3 linked regions of the Callithrix jacchus genome follow. The protein of the gene in region 1 purifies or fractionates together with the protein of each later gene. This does not show direct contact. Links are inferred from orthologs where the notes say so. Each region holds a gene or a part of one and is shown on either strand. Other genes may lie near its edges.

Region 1 (3,748 bases):
TAAAGGTTTTGAAAAATATTGTATAATAAGTTAACAAACATAATTTAAAAAACATATGTCATCACAGAGTAAAACTTCAACGATAAGTCTAATTAGACAACGAGTCAGCAGTATCTCCAGACGCTGATTTCTCCAATGTCACCAGACAATCCATCCGGCTAAAAAGTACTTTTAACGGTGGCTCAAGCCTGTAATCCCAGCACTTTGGGAGGCCGAGGCGGGTGGATCACGAGGTCAGGAGATCGAGACCATCCTGGTCAAAATGGTGAAACCTCGTCTCCACTAAAGATACAGAAAATTAGCTGGGCATGGTGGCGCGTGCCTGTAATCCCGGCTACTCGGGAGGCTGAGGCAGGAGAATTGCCTGAACCCAGGAGGCGGAGGTTGCGGTGAGCCGGGATCCCGCCATTGCACTCCAGCCTGGGTAACAAGAGCGAAACTCCGTCTCAAAAAAAAAAAGTACCTTTAAACACGTGCGGCGCCCAGAGTATCAAGTTTTCACATCTAAATCCCTACCTTCTGCCGATCTGTACCACTTTACTGTTGCATAAAAGCACCACAATACACATTCCAAATTAATCAGAACTCCTACCTTCCTCGTAGAGTCCATTTTAAATACTTTTAGAAAGATATCTCAGTAAATCTAAGAAAAATGTTGAATAAATACCCACTTTCTTTTTCCACATCCAGAATACTGAAGTATTTATAAATATGCGCCCCCCTCCCCCACATCAGGGAACTTCAGCTTTATGAATGGTTTGGGTTTTTTCAGTGCTGATGTAGTCTGAACATACTCTCCTACCTAATGTGAAATTTTAAGTGATTAGTTTAAACATCATATAGCAGGTAACTAAACTGGGATGTTCAAGTAATGCTACTTTGTATCTAATAAAATCCAAAAATTATACAATAAGCTTTGACTTTTCAATAATTTTCTATTCTGTCAAAGGCAAGAGACAACACCCATTTTACAAGAAAACCTGGAGTTAATAAAATATATTTTCCCCCCAACTAAGAATTGCCTTCTCTTTCGTCAATATTACAAGACATTCATCTACTGACAAAGAGAAAAAATGAACACTTCACTTGCCTGTTAAGAAACTAAATTGGAAGCATTACCAGTCATACATTTAATTAAGTTGTTACTAGGGAAGAATATTTAAAGCAAAGGGATTATTTAAAGTTCACTGCCAACCGCTAAATTTGGGGAAAACAGCCTGAATGAGATAGTACCTATGTCACTTGCCTTCTTCCCCACCACCCACCCTGCACCAAACCCCCATTGTTCTATGTAAAAATTCACAGCTAATAATATCTAAATAGCAATTGCAACATTCATGTTGCAGATGATCACTATGGGGAACTCTCTTCAGAACCACATTACTCGCTGCCTTCCTTCCCTCAAATAAAACCCAAATTTGATTAAAAATCGATCACAAACTGGTGGGGGAAAGGATCACAGCCTTCCTTCTAGACCGATGGATGACACTCCAGAGGCGGGTGAGGAAATCCCCAGATTACCATAATAAATCCACCAAAGGAAGAAAATCATTTAACCCGGCGTTTTAGAACGAATTTTTTCATAAATCAGCTTTGAAATCCTTGAAAAGTATACAGCCCATGGTGCAGAGGCTCCTCTTCCCTCTTACCACCAAAGCACAACACAGATGCGGCACGCAGGATTTCTTGTGGGTTTGGATCCCTCGTACACCACTTCCTCCCCAGACCCGGCTGGCGGAGCCAGATGCCGGCGTCGAGGAAGTCAGAACCCGGCACCCCAGCGGCCCGCTCTCCCTCCGGGCTACCTGCCTCCGCCTGCGGGAGCGCCGCCCGGCGCGGACACCGGCCCAGACACACACACTCACCCATCTTTCCTCTTGGCTTTGTAGACGTGACCGTAAGTGCCTCGGCCAACTTTGCAGCCCTCGTATTCAAACAGGTCCTCGACCCGCTCCCGCTCGCTGCTCAGCTTCACTTTAAAGTCATAGTCCATTGTCACAGCCTCCGAGGCCGGAGAGCTGGGTCGGGGGGTCGGGGGGGCAGGGGTGGGGACCGGGGAAGCACTGGCAGCCGCAGTCCCCGGGAACCCGCCCGCTCTACGCCCGCCGGCCGCAGCACCAGCCTGACTGATGCGGCAAGAGCAGGAGGAGGCCCCGCGAAAGCGCCGGGGACATCCAGGGGGACGGCGGGGCAGAGGCCGGCTGGGGGTGGAGGAACGGGGAGGATCCCCCGGCGAAGGAGAGTCGAGGGACGAGGGCTGGGGGTGGGGAGCGGTGTCTCTGCCCTTGTCCCCGCGGGCTCCCTGGGCGCCGGCTCCGCCGCTCTCTCCAGTCGTGCGTTCTGCTCCTGCTGCGGCGGGAGCGGCGGGGCGGCCAGGCGGGCTCTCGTCCTCTCACACGCGCACTCACGCCTCACGCTCTCTCACACACACGCTCACACTCACTCACTCACTCACTCTCCCATACACTCAAACAGAAAGGCAGCGCCGCACAACAGCCGGTACCTCCTCAAAGAGAGGAGGAGGGAGGGCACTCGCGGAACACGGCCGCGGCTGTCGCAAAAACGTCGCGAAGCCTCGGCTGCCTCCGGGCCACCCCCCAGCCCGCTCCCGCGGTGGCTCTCCACCCCTGCAGGCGCCGGCACCCTGAGGACCGTGTGGAGGAAGCGGGGGAGCCAGTGCCCAAAGCTGCCGCCAAACGCACCACGTGGGACCAGCCCCAGCAGTGGCCGGGCCCCAGACTACAATACCCAGAATCCACAGGCCGCTGCCGCTGCTGCCCCTACTACGACTCCGCCCCACACGGTGGGAATGTGGGAGCGTTGCATGACGGGACTCGTAGTCTAGGGTGGGATTTCATTTCAATCTCTTGGGGGAAATTTCTATTTCTATTTATTTTTATTTTTACAGATATCTTACTACAGTCTGATTTCAGCCATAAACTTAACCAAAGACATGCACCTGGGAAGGAGGGTAGTTTGCATTAGAAACACATTTTTTGTGCCACTCTGAACTCCATATTTTAAAGGGCACTATCATCATCTATAAAAGCTAATATATTTGTAAACAGCTTGCGGGCCAGCGTTAGGGTACTCTTGGTGTTCACAATCTGATAAGGGCTGCACAGTGATGTCAACATACTGACATTACAAACACCAATAAAAGTGAATCAATGACTAGTGTCCAAGCTACTCCTAAACATTGTTATTCTGGTGACAGATGACCATCCAAACCTTTCCCATCCATTTACAGGATGCACTGAGTACAGTACAGCTTTCTACGATACTGCCTATAAGAACACCAGTTCCTAGCTATGATTACAGAAAGGATCTAAAACCATGGGGAAACTAGTTTGTTAATAATTTTAAGGTAGCAATATGTCTGCTTCAGGAGTCCTGGTATCTTGTTACTAATCTATCATTTTATCTTATCCCTTTTATTGTCTGTTTTTTGGTTTCCAATTGTTACCATTTCCACTAAAGCTCCCCACTTCCCAAAGAGAATATGAACTTTGCACTTTATTTTTGTTGTTTGTTTGAGACAGAGTCTCGCTCCGTCACCCAGGCTGGAGTGCAGTGGCAGCATCTCAGCTCAGGTTCAAGCGATTCTCCTGCGTCAGCCTCCCGAGTGGCTGGGATTATAGGCACGCGTCACCACACCTAGCTAACTTTTTGAATTTTTAGTAGAGACTGGGTTTCACTGTGTTAGTCAGAATGGTCTTGATCTCCAGACCTCGTGATCCACCCGCCT
Region 2 (3,748 bases), on another chromosome or scaffold:
AAGCCATGGTCTACACAATTATGAGATTAAGCCATTTGTAGCTAGGATAATTCAGACTCTGGCATAGCTGTAAGTCTGGAACTCCAGACCAAAGGCTTTGACAGGAGTTCCGCTTTATCTCTCTCCTCTACCCCACCTGCCAACCTGTCACACTCCTGTGTGGCTTTCCCAAAGGCCCTCTCAGACTTCTGAGTGTGTGCCTCTCTCTCTCCATCTAACTGTATCCACTGTTTCAAGAGTCGACTCCCAGAACATCTTAATCTCAGGTTCTATGGTCTTTATTGAAAGCCACAAGGTGAGATTTTCCAGCCGCCCACCAGAGCAACTGAGAAGGGATTCCCCTGATACTGACAGGCCACTACTCCTCCCAGAATACCTTGCTTCTCACCTCCTCCATCTGCACTACACATATTTGGTCTTCAGAGAAAGTCCCTAAGTTTTGCCAGAAACTCAACTTCTGTCCTCCAAGGTACTGCTGCAGAGAATGAGCAAAGACTCAAAAGGCTGAGCAGTTGCTCCCCTCCTGGACTTACATGAACACACATGGCTCCCAGAATCATTTTTCTCAAATTGAATTTTTATTATCTGATGTTAATACTGTAATGTTTTTCATGGATTCATTTTACAGGTTTTTTTTTTTTTAATGGAAAGACAATTTTTTTTACAATAAAACTTTTTAAAATTTACAATCCCGTTTCTAGGGATTAACTTCCACATGAACACATAATTTACATCATGTTAGTACACAGCATTTTGGACTATTTTATTTCTTAATACATTTAAACATTTTCCATGTTTCTATATTCTGAATATTTTTATGTTACTTAGAATTTTTGTTTCGTACCTATTGAAAGATGTCTTTCAGAGTTAGATTTTTTTTGTCATAAATCTCTCTTGTGTGGGTGTAAAAAGGAAAACATTGGTGAAATAAATTGGATAGGGCGTTTCTAAGGCAGTGACATACAATTGACACTTTGCTGGAAGTGATTTAAAAACAATCCTGATTTCAGAGATGTTAAAATAAAGACACAATAACAAACCTCCATGAATACACCCTCTTGTTTAAGAAATGGAATAATCATGATTCTGTTGAAGCTGTTTGTGTGTGCCTCCCAGATCAGACATCTCTCCCTTTACCCTTTCTCTTCTTTCCTTTTTTTATCCATATCCTGAATTTTGTGATTATCATTTCCTTGTTTTTCTCTATACTTTAAGCAAATATATATCCCATAGTTGAATCTTATTTTTGAACTGTTCTACAAATTGAACTATATCATATATATTTTTGTGACTTGCTTTTAGTATCCCATATTATGTGAGATTTATCCATGCTAGCTGGGCACAGTAGCTCATGCCTGTAATCCCAGCACTTTGGGAGGCCAAGGAGGGTGGACTGCTTGAGGTCAGGAATTTGAGACCAGCCTGGTCAACATGGCAAAACCCTGTCTCTACTAAAAATACACAAAATTAGTTGGGCATGGTGGCACATGCCTGTAATCCCAGCTACTTGGAAGCTGAGGCACTAGAATTGCTGGACCCTGGGTGGCCAAGATTACTGTGAATCAAGATCACCTCACTGCACTTCAGCCTGGGTGACAAACTGAGACTCTATCTCAAAAAAAAAAAACAAAAAAAATGTATCCTTTCTAATAGCCGCTATTCATTTACACTGTTGTAGATTATGCACTGTAGTTTATTTCATAGCTTATTAATTCTCCTGTTTGATGAACACTTGAGGATTTCCAGGGTTTTGCTATTACAATTTGTTTTACTATAAACATTCTCCTAGTTGTCTACTGGCAAGCATATGTGAGAATTTCTCCACTGTCTACACCTAGGAGGAAGACTTGTTAAGACTAGATCAAGAGTCAGCACATTTTCTGTGAAGGCCCAGATAATATTTTAGACTCTGCAGGCCATATGGTCTCCATTGCAACTACTCATATCTGTCATTTTAGCGTGAAAGCAGCCATAGACAATATGCAAAGGAATGGCTGTGGCTATGTTCCAGTAAAATTTTATTTACAAATCCAAGCAGCTGGCAAGATTTGGACCTCAGAATATGGTTTGCCAATTCCTGATCTAGATGCATAGATTTCCTATTCTAATTGCCTACAAATGCTGCTGCACTGCTCCTTCCTCCCCTGAATACCCTCTGAGGGGATGTGAATCCTGTCTCTGCCTAGTCTATGGACTGGACTGAATGTCCATGTTCAGGAGCATTCAGGGAAGAGAATGGGCATGGGGACGTGGTGGTGGTGCATCCAGCTCTTAATCTGTGACTTTGACAGTCTAGGGGAAGCAAAGGCAGAAAGGGGTTGAGGCAAAGCAAAACACTCACATTGGCTCTGCTGGGCCTGGGTGGGTGGTAGGGCTCTACCTGCCTGGAGGCTGGGGTCTCAGGCTGTAATGTGGTCACCATCACAGAAGCCACTGTGAAGTCACTGCCAGGCTATGGGGCAGAAAAAATTCAAACAGGAGATTTTATTTATTTAGGGGTTGTATGATTTCCTTTATTATTTAAACTGCAGTAAAGAAAGCTGGGATGGGCTCTCTAGGGATACTTCCCAGATCCCTGGGAGTTGTAGCCCTGGCTCCTATTTAAATGGATTTGGTTTCAAAGATGGTCATCTCCATCATCTTGGATGTCACAGTGCCACTGATCACCTCCAGCTCCTGGGCTTTCTCCACTTTGGCCTCTATGTTTTGCTTCTCCGCCATCTTAGCCACGATGTCTACCTCTCTGTCGTGTGATGTGACCCTTGTTTTTGAACCAGCAGTAGCCCTGAGGCTCCTTAAAAAAGACATGATTTTACTGGGTTTCTTACTTAAAGCTCCTGTACTAGATGTGGATCGGTTCTTCCCCAGTTTGTGAGTTGTTCTCGACTCCTTTTTGGTGGAACTGTGGCTGGAGCTCTTGCGAGAGGAGCCACGTCCCTTGCCCCTTACCTTGCTGCGCCCTTGTTCTTTTTTGTCATCTCTCGTGTTTTTATGGCCGGATATAGACCGGTGGGAGGATGCTTTCTGGGTCTCGTCTCCTGCTGTCCTGCGGTGACTTTCACCTGCCTTGCGGTGATGGGAACTTTTCCTACTGGGACGTTTGTCCTTCTTTTTTCTTCTTTCCTTTTTTTCATTCCAGGCTTCAGCACTGGGCTGGGAAAGCTTCTGGCTTCCATTCCGTTCACTCATGTAGCCTTCGCTTTGCAAGGTGGACACGAGGGGTCCCAATGCTGGTCCTTGAGTTCTTTCTGCCACACACTTGCCTGTCGTCATACTGCCTGCAAATGCCATACTCAAGCTGCTGTCTTGGGAGAGATGGGCGGCCCCCGCCATCGTGGTGGAAGAAGTACCTGCCAAGGAGGTGCTTGCAACACCCACCAAGGCCAAGTTCATACTATCTGAGGATATGTTGGCAGCACCTGCCATGGACTTGCTGGATTCATTTTCTCCCGGATTTTTGATGGCTGCTCCCGCCAGCGCTGTGGTCACCTGGCCTGGGCCTGCAGGTTTGCTTGCTGCTATGCTCACAGCGCCTGTTGCAGGACTCATTGCTGTGCCTGCTATTGCCACACCTGCTCTGGGGCCTGTTGTTCCTGCCATGCCACCTGCTGTCCTTGCTGCTGCTCCTTCAGCAGCCATTCCATGGGAGGCATGTTGGATTCCTTCTCCCCCAGCATAAGCAGAAGAGGTGACTGCAGATACATCACAAGACTTGTGAAGCCCAGTCTCACTCTGATCCCCTTTTCTG
Region 3 (3,748 bases), about 26 Mb from region 1:
CACTCCAGCCTGGGTGACAGAGTGACACTCCATCTCAATTAAAAAAAAAGTGCTGGGGAAGCCAGACATTGTGGCTCACACCTATAATCCTAGCTAGCACTTTGGGAGGCCAATGTGGAAGAATACTTGAGCTGGGGAGTTCAACTACAGCTGGGGCAACGTAACAAGATCCCACCACTTTAAAAGAAAAAAATAGCCAGGCTCTGCTAAGTGGCTCACGCCTGTAATCCTGGCACTTTGGAAGCCCCTTCTCTACTAAAAATATAAAATTATCAAGTGTGGTGGTGCATGCCTCTAATCCCAGCTACTTGGGAGGCTAAGAAGAATCACTTGAACCCAGGAGGCAGAGGTTGCAGGAAACTGAGATTACATCATTGCACTCCAGCCTGGGCAACAAGAGTGAAACTGTCTCAAAAAAAAAAAAAAAAAAGGACAGTCTTACTCAGTAGCTAAGGCTTGAGTGCACTACTGGCACAATCATAGCCTATTGCAGCCTCGATCTCCCAAGGTCCAGGATGAAGTGATCCTCCCAGCTCAGCCTTCAGAGTAGCTGGCACTATAGCTAATTTTCCTTTTTTTTTTGAGACAGGGTCTCACTCTGTCACCCAGGTTGGAGTGCAATAACATAATCCTGGCTCACCGGAGTCTTGACCTACAGGATTCAGGTAATCTGCCTACCGCAGCCTCCCAAGTAGCTAGACTACTGGCTTGTGTCACCACGCTCAGCTAATTTTTGTATCTGTTGTAGAAACAGGGTTTTGCCATGTTGTCCAGGCTGGTCTCCAACTCATGGGCTCAAGTGACCCTCCTGCTTCGGCCTCCCAAAATGCTGGGATTACAGGCTTGAACCACTGCCTGGCCCTAATTTTTTATTTATTTATTTATTTATTTATTTATTTTTGAAATGAAGTTTCACTTTCATTGCCCAGACTGAAGTGCAGTGGCAAAATCTTGACTCAATGCAACCTCCACCTCCTGGGTTTGAGTGATTTTCCTGCCTCAGCCTCTCAAGTAGCTGAGATTACAGACAAGCCACCATGACCAGCTAATATTGTATTTTTAGTAGAGATGGCGTTTCACCATATTGGCCAGGCTGGTCTTGAATTCCTGACCTCAGGTGATCCACCTGCCTTGGCCTCCCAAAGTGCTGGGATTACAGGCCCTCACGCCCAGCCAATTTTTTTATGTTTTTGTAGAGAGAGGGTCTCACTATGTTGCCCAGGCTGGTCTCTAACTTCTGGGCTCAAGGGATCCTCCAGCCTCAGCCTCCTAAAGTTCTGGGATTACAGATGTGAGTCACTGCACCCGGCCCCACCTTTTGACCTCTCCTCCAAAACATACTTCTTGTTGTCCTTGAGAAACCTGCTGATAGGTAACTTTACTTCAATGCTCAGACATTTTTTGAGCGACTATTTACGTCAACGCTTATTTTTTGAGCAACTATTACGTGCCAGAAACTATACAAAAATTAATCAGGCAAGGTCCCTAATCTGCAAAGCTCAGAGTAAATTGAAAAAGATAAACAAACAATAATACAGCTCACTGTATCAACAGAACTATGCCCAAAATGCTAAGGAAGCATCTATACTGGAGTGTGGAACTTTAGAGAATCTTAGTAAAGTTCCACAGAAAAGTTTGTTTTTCTGCAGTTCTTAGTTCAGTCAATAAAAGAAAGGGAAAAAAAAATGAAATTCAGTGCAGTTTAAAAACACACAATAGCACGGGATCTGAACACTTGACATTGTAGGGAACTGCTGGCTGCTAATAAATATAAGGACCTAATCATTTCATTTATGCCAAAATATCCTCCAGTACGTTTACCCACAGCCCTGTATTTACTCAGACGTCTCTTCTGGAACGAGATGTAAGCTGGTTTTGTATTCACTGGCCCGGTCTCCCACCACTTTAAGCCAAAAGTGCCCTGAGGCCCAACCGACTGTCCCTAGTCGATCAGGAAATCTTCACAGAAGTTGAGAGTCCCCATCACCCCAAAGTCGGAGCTCTATATTCACCAAGGAAGGTATAGTGAGAATCTAAAACTCATAAACATTCCCTCTCCTGGACTCTATGCCCGTAAAGTGGCCCCTATCGGACATTGGCAGGAACCTCCTCTCACAAACCGGCTCCCCAAATTGTGTCCCGCCCCCTCCTTTCCCCCTCGGTCACTTACCCTCGGTTTCCCCCTGAGCTTTCATCCTGAAGGCGGGGAGAGCCTGGATCTGCCACAAAGGGATAAGCCCTTCCCCGCCACTAACGGGGAAAACAAGTTGGCCCGGGATCCCGAGACGCAGGGCACCAGCAGTCCCTACTCTTCCCGGGAAGGATCAGTCTGAAGTCCCCGGCGACAAGAAGAGAAGGGTGCTCGAGGCCGCCGCCATCTTCCCCAACGGAACTTCCCAAAATTCGCGAGATAAACCGTGGTCCTGCCAGAGGGAGGAAGAGGACAGGGCATCGAAATCTCGCGAATATTGGTCAATGCGTGGGCCTCGCGAGATTTCTTTCAAGCTAGTCCTGTCTTTGCTCTGGGCTGTCTCAGGCCTGACGCTGCTGGTTGTTAAAACTGCGGGCCAGTAACTTACAGCTCCCCTGCGGAAACCAGCATTTTCTTTTTTAATTTGAGCAGTTAAACAACTCGCAAATTAAAATCTCCAGATCTCTCTACTGAAAGACTATCTTTTCAAAGGCTATTGGTATCAGGAATGTATGTTTTCCGTGAGATACTAGATGCAATAATTATGTCCTAAGAAAGCTAGTGGCGCATTGTAACATGACATTCAAAGACAGCCTAGCACAATTAATTCCCCTTTCTTTCCTTCTTTTTTTTTTTTTTTTTTTGAGACGGAATCTCGCTGTGTTGCTAGAATGGAGTCCAGTGGTGCGATCTCGACTCACTGCAATCTCCCTCTGCCTCCTGGATTCAAGCGCTTATCCTCCCTAAGCTTCCCGAGTAGCTAGGATTATAGGTGTGTGCCACCACACCAAGCTGATTTTTGTGTTTTTAGTGGAGACGGAGTTTCACTATATTGGCCTCTATCTTCTGACCTCGTGATCCGCCCGCCTTGGCCTCCCAAAGTGCTGGAATTACAGGCGTGAGCCACCGCGCCGGCTTCTTTTCTCATTTTTTTAGTTTCAAAACTTTCTTTCTCTTTCTTTCCTTCTTTCTTTCTCCTTCCTTCCTTCCTTTTCCTTCCTTCCTTCCTTTTCCTTCCTTCCTTCCTTCCTTCCTTCCTTCCTTCCTTCCTTCCTTCCTTCCTTCCTTCCTTCCTTCCTTCCTTCCTTTCTTTCTGACAGAGTTTCACTCTTGTTACCCAGGCTGGAATGCAATGGCGCGATCTCGGCTCACCGCAACCTCCATCTCCTCGGTTCAAGCCATTCTCCTGCCTCAGCCTCCCGAGTAGCTGGGACTACAGGCGCAGGCGCCATGCCCAGCTAATTTTTGTATTTTTAGTAGAGACGGGGTTTCACCACGTTGACCAGGATGGTCTCGATCTCTTGACCTTGTGATCCACCAGCCTTGGCCTCCCAAAGTGCTGGGATTATAGGCGTGAGCCACCGCGACGGCCTCTCTCCTTCCTTCCTTCCTTCCTTCCTTCCTTCCTTCCTTCCTTCCTTCCTTCCTTCCTTCCTTTCTTCTTTCTTTCTTTTTCCTTCCTTCCTTCCTTCTTTCTTTCTTTTTTGAGATGAAGTGTCGCTCTCTCACCCAGGCTGGAGTGCAGTGGCAGAACCTCGGCTCACTGCAACCTCCGCC

The links.
Region 2: the proteins of CDK8 (region 1) and MED7 purify together in Homo sapiens (affinity purification with mass spectrometry; 7 studies listed by BioGRID and IntAct, counting the BioPlex papers as one, with this or other methods). This does not show direct contact. The link is inferred for Callithrix jacchus from reciprocal best matches to the Homo sapiens genes CDK8 and MED7.
Region 3: the proteins of CDK8 (region 1) and MED1 purify together in Homo sapiens (affinity purification with mass spectrometry; 14 studies listed by BioGRID and IntAct, counting the BioPlex papers as one, with this or other methods). This does not show direct contact. The link is inferred for Callithrix jacchus from reciprocal best matches to the Homo sapiens genes CDK8 and MED1.

The regions. Positions count from the first base shown.
Region 1 is NC_133506.1:145,427,580-145,431,327, reverse strand, and holds the start of CDK8 (cyclin-dependent kinase 8), read right to left. Parts: upstream 2,510-3,748; 5' UTR 1,994-2,509; coding exon 1,866-1,993; intron 1-1,865.
Region 2 is NC_133503.1:19,918,435-19,922,182, forward strand, and holds the start of MED7 (mediator of RNA polymerase II transcription subunit 7), read right to left. Parts: upstream 2,387-3,748; 5' UTR 2,342-2,386; intron 1-2,341. Other genes in the region: GARIN3 (Golgi-associated RAB2 interactor protein 3), read right to left, coding at 2,602-3,748. UniProt on the Homo sapiens protein: Component of the Mediator complex, a coactivator involved in the regulated transcription of nearly all RNA polymerase II-dependent genes.
Region 3 is NC_133506.1:119,911,253-119,915,000, forward strand, and holds the start of MED1 (mediator of RNA polymerase II transcription subunit 1), read right to left. Parts: upstream 2,399-3,748; 5' UTR 2,196-2,398; coding exon 2,171-2,195; intron 1-2,170. UniProt on the Homo sapiens protein: Component of the Mediator complex, a coactivator involved in the regulated transcription of nearly all RNA polymerase II-dependent genes.